Linked DNA regions of Caenorhabditis elegans. The protein of the gene in region 2 interacts with the protein of the main gene of each other region in a pairwise test. Each region holds a gene or a part of one and is shown on either strand. Other genes may lie near its edges.

Evidence for each region. Proteins that work in one complex are often made in the same cells at the same time.
Region 1: the proteins of cec-8 (region 2) and C13F10.7 interact in a two-hybrid assay, tested with the Caenorhabditis elegans proteins (one large-scale study listed by BioGRID).

What each region holds. Positions count from the first base shown.
Region 1 is NC_003283.11:7,221,566-7,225,319, forward strand, and holds C13F10.7 (CCHC-type domain-containing protein), read right to left. Parts: upstream 1,688-3,754; coding exon 1,573-1,687; intron 1,374-1,572; coding exon 1,302-1,373; intron 1,253-1,301; coding exon 771-1,252; 3' UTR 493-770; downstream 1-492. Other genes in the region: kxd-1 (KxDL domain-containing protein), read left to right, coding at 1-6, 65-147, 197-399, 449-492; C13F10.1 (50S ribosomal protein L6), read left to right, coding at 2,513-2,803, 3,173-3,316, 3,365-3,376.
Region 2 is NC_003281.10:427,207-430,960, forward strand, and holds the start of cec-8 (Chromo domain-containing protein), read left to right. Parts: upstream 1-2,131; 5' UTR 2,132-2,147; coding exon 2,148-2,191; intron 2,192-2,239; coding exon 2,240-2,459; intron 2,460-2,514; coding exon 2,515-2,587; intron 2,588-2,639; coding exon 2,640-2,770; intron 2,771-2,819; coding exon 2,820-3,754.

The DNA of each region.
Region 1 (3,754 bases), on a different chromosome or scaffold from region 2:
ATGCCCGTAAGCTTTCTAATAATAATAATGGGAAAAAGGAATAAAAATATTTAATAATATGCAGGAAACACCACATCTCATCGATTCGCTCACTTCTCAAATCGACGAATTCACAATTCAAAGCATAATTGATACTCAGAGACAGAGGTAATATACTGGAGAATTTAGAATTTATTGATTTTTCTTTTTTTTTCAGCTTGAAACGCTTCGAAAAGACAAATGAAATGCTCATGAATTGCGCTCAACTCGGCGATCGAAGAATTGAAAAAGCAAAAAGGGATTCTGTGGGACACAAAGAGACAATTCTGCAGATGAAAACTGATTTGGAATTTATTTTCAAAAAAATTCGCATGTTCAAAACAGTTTTGTCGTCAAAGTATCCAGAAGTTTATGCTGAAGGTGCAGATATTTTAATTTGAATACTTTTAAAAAGTTCATCAAATTTCAGTGTCAGCCGAGCTAACGCCAAAACGAAGCGAGGAAGACGAATGAAATACAATTTATTCGTAATTGAAAAACAAGAAGAAAAAAAATAACAGATCATTTGGAACAAATACAAGTCACAGAAATTCAATAAAGATCTCAAATTTTTGATTAAAGTGAAGTCGAAATAAGTTATAAAATTTTTTGTTTTTAATTTAATTAGTAACTTCACTATGGGGACTTTTTGACACAAGAGAAACAATAGAAATTTGAATAGAGAAAATATTAATGTGGAGGTGGTTACTGTCGGAATAAAAATTTAGAGTTAAAATATCAATATTACACGATTATGATCTACGGTGACGTTTCGAGTCACGACAGTCATCATCAGAATCGGAAGAAGCTGATCTATCATCTGAGGAAGAATGACGGCGTTTTCTTTTTTCCTTTTTACTTTCCTTGCTCTTCTTCCTTTTTCTATCCTCTTCCTCATCAGAATCACTACTATCATCAGAATCATCTCGTCGCCTTCTCTTCTCTTTCCGTTCCTTCTTTCTCTCCTTTTTCTCGAGTTTCTTCGCCTTCTTCTTTTCTTTTTTCGCCTTCTTTTTCAGCTTTTTCTCCTTTTTCCGCTGCTTTTCCAAAGCAATGAGCGGAGTCTCGTCGTCACTTGATTCAGATGATGTCGAACTGACCTCGTACGCTTTTGTCGATACATTTGGACGTACTTCAATGTGATTTCGACACTGGAAGTATAGATGACCCGGATATCCACATCTTTTGCATGCTCCCGTGACTGCGGGGGCAGATATTGCGGCACCTGATATATCTGAAATTAAACAAATTATGTGATTTTAATTTCCTATGAACTACCGTACCTACAAAGGCGTTCGGGTCGTATCTTGATGGGAACGCTGACTGTGCTAGGGAAGCAAGTGAAGGTTTTTTACCTGAAAGTAGATTTTGAGTTTTTTTTTTGAAAAATTTATAAATACTTTTTTTCCAAAAAACCAAGTTTCTTTTTTGGAGTCGTTTTCAAAAAAGTTTTTTTTCGCTTTTTTCGTCCCCTAAATTGTTTTTTGTTCGGAAACATTTTTTTTGCGAATAAATCCATAGTAATTTAATTTTTGAAAATTTAAGATTACTTACCTGACTCATCATCTTTTGATAATGGGCTATCTGTGTCAGTTGTGGTAGTTACAGTTGTACTGGTAGATCCGAATTTTCGCACAAACGGCATCGGAGTCAGGTTAGCGTTCGCCATCTGTAATTGTAGTGAATATTAGGGAGTACTAAAAATAAGCAAAAAATAACGTGAAGAGGTGGTAAAAGACGCTGGTTTTATGCGCGTTTTAGAGGGGAAGAACTGTTCTCAAGGGAAGATGGGTTTTATAGAAAAATTATCGATTTTTCGGCGCTTTTTAATCAGAGAACATAGAAGAATTGGAAAACATGCTGAAAAGATTTAAAAATAAGATTTTTTTCAACAAAAAAAAAGAGAACTATCAAGAAAAGTGAAAAGCAGCAATGGAAGAAGTGAGAAAGAAATATGAAAAGTTTCGAAATTAATACGATTTTTTCCACTAGAGCACATTAGCACGGTGTTGTTTGAAATTTTGAATAAAATATTTTTAATTAGAAAAAAGGTATTATCTGATGCAAATTTATGCAAACTTCTCGAAAATGTTCGAAAAGCACTCCTGGTTTATAACCCTGCAAGTTTTCAAATTTCTGGATTATTAAATCGTCAATAATATCTCATATTTTGTGTATTTTCGTCGAGTTTTTTCGAGGATAATCTATTAATTTACTACTCAAAACCACAGAAAACGAGAATTCGTAGATTTACAACAGTAAATAATGCGAATTTTATTTGGAATACTATAAAAATATTGAACAAATTAGCGATTTCAAAATTAACTGACAAAAGAATTCGCGAAAATCGTTTCACAAAGAACTATATATTTTTTTGAAAAACAAAAATTCACTGTTTTCCTCGGGGAGTACACGAGCTCCGTAAATCGACACGCTTCCAATTCACTCTTTCCTTTCATTCATTATATTGTGTTCCAATAAATTAATTTGACGAATGATGATCGAAGTTAGCTTGACAAATGACTCCAAGAGCTCCACCCCCATCTGTTATATGTCCGCAAATCAATACAAAACCTCTCCCACCGCTTTCTCTTTTCTTTCTCCCGCGCTGGGTCTGGGCACAAGATGCTCTCGACAAACTCTTCTCAAGCACACTGCCCGGCTTCTCGCTCATGATACGTTCTCTCGTCGCGTCGTTTCGAAATTCACTTTACTTTCTCCACGATTAGTGGGTCGTTACAGAGCACGCCATCTTTTTCCAAAAGTAAATCTGTCCAAAATGCAGGTGAGTCCTATTATATTTGAAGAAATAATCTAGTTTTCTCTTATTTATGAGTTATAAATAAATCTTTAATATTCATTATAAAAAAATACGATCTATTTTCCTCGCGGTGAGACCTATATGAATGAATTCGTGTACCTTCAAGTGAGAAGTTTAGGAGATTAAAAATTGCGATATATTACGCAACCGCCAGAAATTATACGAACTGTGCAGCATATTTGGCACAATGAATATCTCGTTGCGACGTCTACAGTAACTTTGTAAATACTACCGTAACCACAGTGTTAATTTTGTTGGTTATATAATATTTGAAAATTACCTTCTCAAAAAAGAGGCATTGTTCAACTAGGAAAAAAAGTTTCCGATTTTCAGATCGAGAAACCATACGACTATGCTGCTCTTATGATCCGTGTCTCCGCCGGATTTGTTATTTTCATATCGTTATCATTGATACTTTTGGTAGTTGGAAATCTCATCTACACAAGTTTTACAGAACGAGTCAATTTGAATTCCAAAGTGAGAAATTTCATTTTCCCAAAAAACCTAACTAGTTTTAATTTTCAGAGATCCCGATAATCTCAATACTTATGCCAACCAAAAAAAAACCGCACTCTTTCCATAATCTTGCCACGTCATTAAATCGTTCCCAATTGTGTTACCTATAACTTATTGATTTGTGGTGAATAAAAAACAAGTATCTCTCTGATAAAACAACCGATCCAATGCGCAGATAAAAAGGTGAAGGTCTCTCATCTGCGTCTCTCAGGCTTCGGACTGCGCGGCAACAAAACCTGAAGAGGAGATGTGGCGGTAGCCACCGAGAACGGAATAAACTAGATGAGTGGAAGGAGACACTTGCAAGACGGTCGTTGCTTCCTTCTTTTCCTTCCACGTGTAGTGCTTTTGAATTCAAAAGTTTTGATTTTTCTTTTCTTGTAACTTATTCCGCCTATT
Region 2 (3,754 bases):
TCTCACCACGGTGGGTCTCGCCACGATGGGTCTCGCCACGATGGGTCTCGCCACGAAGATCTCGCAGCAACATTTTTTTAATTTTCCAGAAGGTTCTAGAACAATCCAGAATTTTTTCGAATTTTCCAGAAGGTTCTGGAACATTCCAGAATTTTCTAGAATTTTCCAGAACCTTCTGGATAATTTCAGAATTTTCCCGAAGTTTCCAATTTCCCTTCCAAAGACGGGAAGTCAATTTTTCATAAACTACCGTAATCCTACCGTACTCCTACAGTACTCCTACAGTACTACTACAGTACCCCGACCATATTCCACTACTAACCGCAAACCTATATCTCTTCAAAAGACAAAAACACAATTTTTCATAAACTACAGTAATCCTACCGTACTCCTACAGTACTCCTACAGTACTACTGCAGTACCCCGACCATATCCCACTACTAACCCCCAAACCTATATCTCTTCAAAAGACAAAAGCTCAATTTTTCCTAAACTACAGTAATCCTACAGTACTCCTACAGTACCTCTACAGTACTACTACAGTACCCCGACCATATCCCACCACTAACCCCAAACCTATATCTCTTCAAAAGACAAAAACTCAATTTTTCCTAAACTACAGTAATCCTACAGTACTCCTAAAGTACCTCTACAGTACTACTACAGTACCCCGACCATATCCCACCACTAACCCCAAACCTATATCTCTTCAAAAGACAAAAACTCAATTTTTCCTAAACTACAGTAATCCTACAGTACTCCTACAGTACCTCTACAGTACTACTACAGTACCCCGCCCATATCCCCCTACTAACCCCAAACTAATATCCCTCCAACAGCCGATAACGCCTTGCCTTTGTAAGCTATGACGTCACTTGTTAACAAACGGACACTATTTTTTTATATATAGGTAATGATTATTTATTTTTCTACCCTGAAATTTTATATTTCCCTTCTCGGGTACTTAATTTTCCGAAATTCCAGTAAATCTTTTAGGCTCCAACCCCTACTACAGCTCTCCGAAACCCGGAAAGGGGCGGGGCTTAACTAATTTTTTTCCAGAACAATAAATTACTGGCCTGCTTATCATGTGGTTAAAAATGTCCCAAGCCCCTTTTTTTGGGGTCTCACAGCGAAGAGAGTAAGTGCGCTTCATAGACATGGTGCATCATGACAAACACCGTCACGCCAAATTGCAGACAACATAATTTTGGGATTTAAATTTTAGGATTTTTAGAAATTTTTAGAAACTTGCACCAAAAAATAAAGTATGGTTTGCCATATATCACAGATTTTTCGAGCTAATTAATTCAATAAATTTTCTATAATGACGTCATCTTTTTTTAAAAAAACCTCTTCCACCGTGACCCACTGAACCCTGTAACATCTGTTATGGGGTCCAGCCGATGCATATAAAGATGTCTAATTCTCTCTCAACACGCCTCGTCGAACCGCGACGCGTCACATCAGCGTTTCCCGCGCGTTTGAAATTTTACGCGTCCACCCGTCTTTTTGTTTGGTTGCTCCTGACAACGGATGAATCTCAAAATAAATTGAGTTTCTGATGTTTTTATTTGAAGTAACCAATTTTTACTTCAAAATTAGATTTTCAACCAATTTCTGAATTTAGTCCAATTTTCGCTTGTATTTCACTGACTATCCCCTAAAATTAATAAATTTTCAGTTGCCTTAATGGATTTCCATATTTGTTTAGTCCTAGCCCCTAACTTTCGTCGTAATTTATCAGTAATATAGGTCAATTCACTCCGAGCTTCAGATTTTGGACAAAATTGTGAAGCTTCAGCCCTTTTTGTCCTAGAAAGTTCGAACCTTGTCGGTTTTAAGACCCTTTTTCGAGAAACTAGTTTAAAAATTACTGGAAATTCCCAAATAGTCGATTCTCTAGCTTGGCACAACATTTTCTTGTCAGACCCCCCATTAAAATCGATTTCTAGTCTCAGCTAATCTCCTTCGCTCACCATGCTCAAAATTGACCTAACTTCCCGAATTTATCCCTAATGAGAGACAATATCGACTCAGTCACCGCAACATCTGTTATTGACCCCACACCTGCGTTACTCCTTCCTTTGTCTCTTATATGTTCTCCAATTCCTAATAATTTTAGTTTTAGGAATAAAAAATCAACCATGGCCAGAAAATCCAAAGGAAGCCGCTCATCCACTCGAGCTGTGTCAGTTTTTTTAAATTTGAAATTTCTCCTGTAACCTCCAATTTTCAGAAAGCAAACCGATCATTTCCAAGTTGATGTGAAACTCCAAAGTCGTCCCGATCATGTCAGAGCTCCAAGGGCGAACAATGAGAATGTCAACTATACCCCAGTGAAAGAGGCAAAGATTCAGAAGATTTTGGACCATCAGCTGTATAATACTCACTATGTCGAGTATCAGGTGGAAATGAGCGATGGAACGGAAGAAATGTTGACTGAATTTGATTTTGATGTAAGTTGTTTTTTTTTTAATACGGTGGTAATTAACATTTTTCTTGAAATTTCAGAACAAAAAGACTCAAAAGATGCTCGCAGAGTACAAGTTCAAGGTTACAGAGCTGGAGGATGATGGAAGTAAAGGTAAGAAGCTTGGAAAAGTAGTTGAAAACTTTGAATACAAAAAAATTTACAGAATACGTTGTGGAGAAGATCGTCGCCCATCGTTACCCAAACGATAGGCTGAATCAGCCTTTGTACCTCGTCATGTGGCGCGGGTTCCCCGATCCGGTATCTAACACGGAAATGTGGGGAGAAGAGCTTGAGGTTAGTGATCACAGAGTCTAGTTATCATCGTTTATCTTAATACTTTCAGAACTGTCAAGAGCTTCTCGATGCCTATAATGAAGAGCATGATATTGATCTTTCAAAGACAGTAATGAACAAGCCTCCGAAGAAATCAAAGCACCAAGATACTTCTGACGATTCTGAGGAGTCTGAAGATGAGGAAGAAAAGTCACCCAGGAAAAGATCCTCCAAGAAACGTCGAGCTGCTTCTGTTTCTGATTCCGATTCTGACTCCGACTCCGATTTTGACAAGAAGAAGTGGAAAAAAAATAAGGCCAAGCGATCCAAGCGTGATGACTCTTCTGATGATGACTCCGAAATGGAGAGACGCAGAAAGAAGTCGAAGAAGTCGAAGAAATCTAAGAAGTTCAAGAAATCTGAGAAGAGAAAGCGTGCAGTGAACGATTCTTCATCTGATGATGAAGATGAGGAGGAGAAGCCTGAGAAACGCTCCAAAAAGAGCAAGAAAGCTGTCATAGATTCATCTTCGGAGGATGAAGAAGAGGAAAAGTCCTCCAAAAAGCGTTCCAAAAAGAGCAAGAAAGAGTCCGATGAAGAACAACAAGCTTCTGACAGTGAGGAGGAAGTAGTCGAGGTGAAGAAAAATAGCAAGTCGCCAAAGAAGACTCCTAAGAAGACCGCTGTCAAGGAGGAATCCGAAGAATCTTCTGGCGACGAGGAAGAGGAGGTTGTGAAGAAGAAGAAGTCCTCCAAGATAAACAAGCGAAAAGCAAAGGAGTCCTCGTCTGACGAGGAGGAAGAGGTTGAAGAATCGCCGAAAAAGAAAACAAAGTCCCCAAGGAAGTCTTCCAAAAAATCGGCTGCTAAGGAAGAATCGGAAGAAGAGTCCTCTGACAATGAAGAGGAGGAGGAGGTTGATTATTCCCCGAAAAAGAAGGTCAAGTCTCCAAAAAAGTCCTCCAAGAAGCCAGCCGCGAAGGTGGAATCGGAAGAACCTTCTGA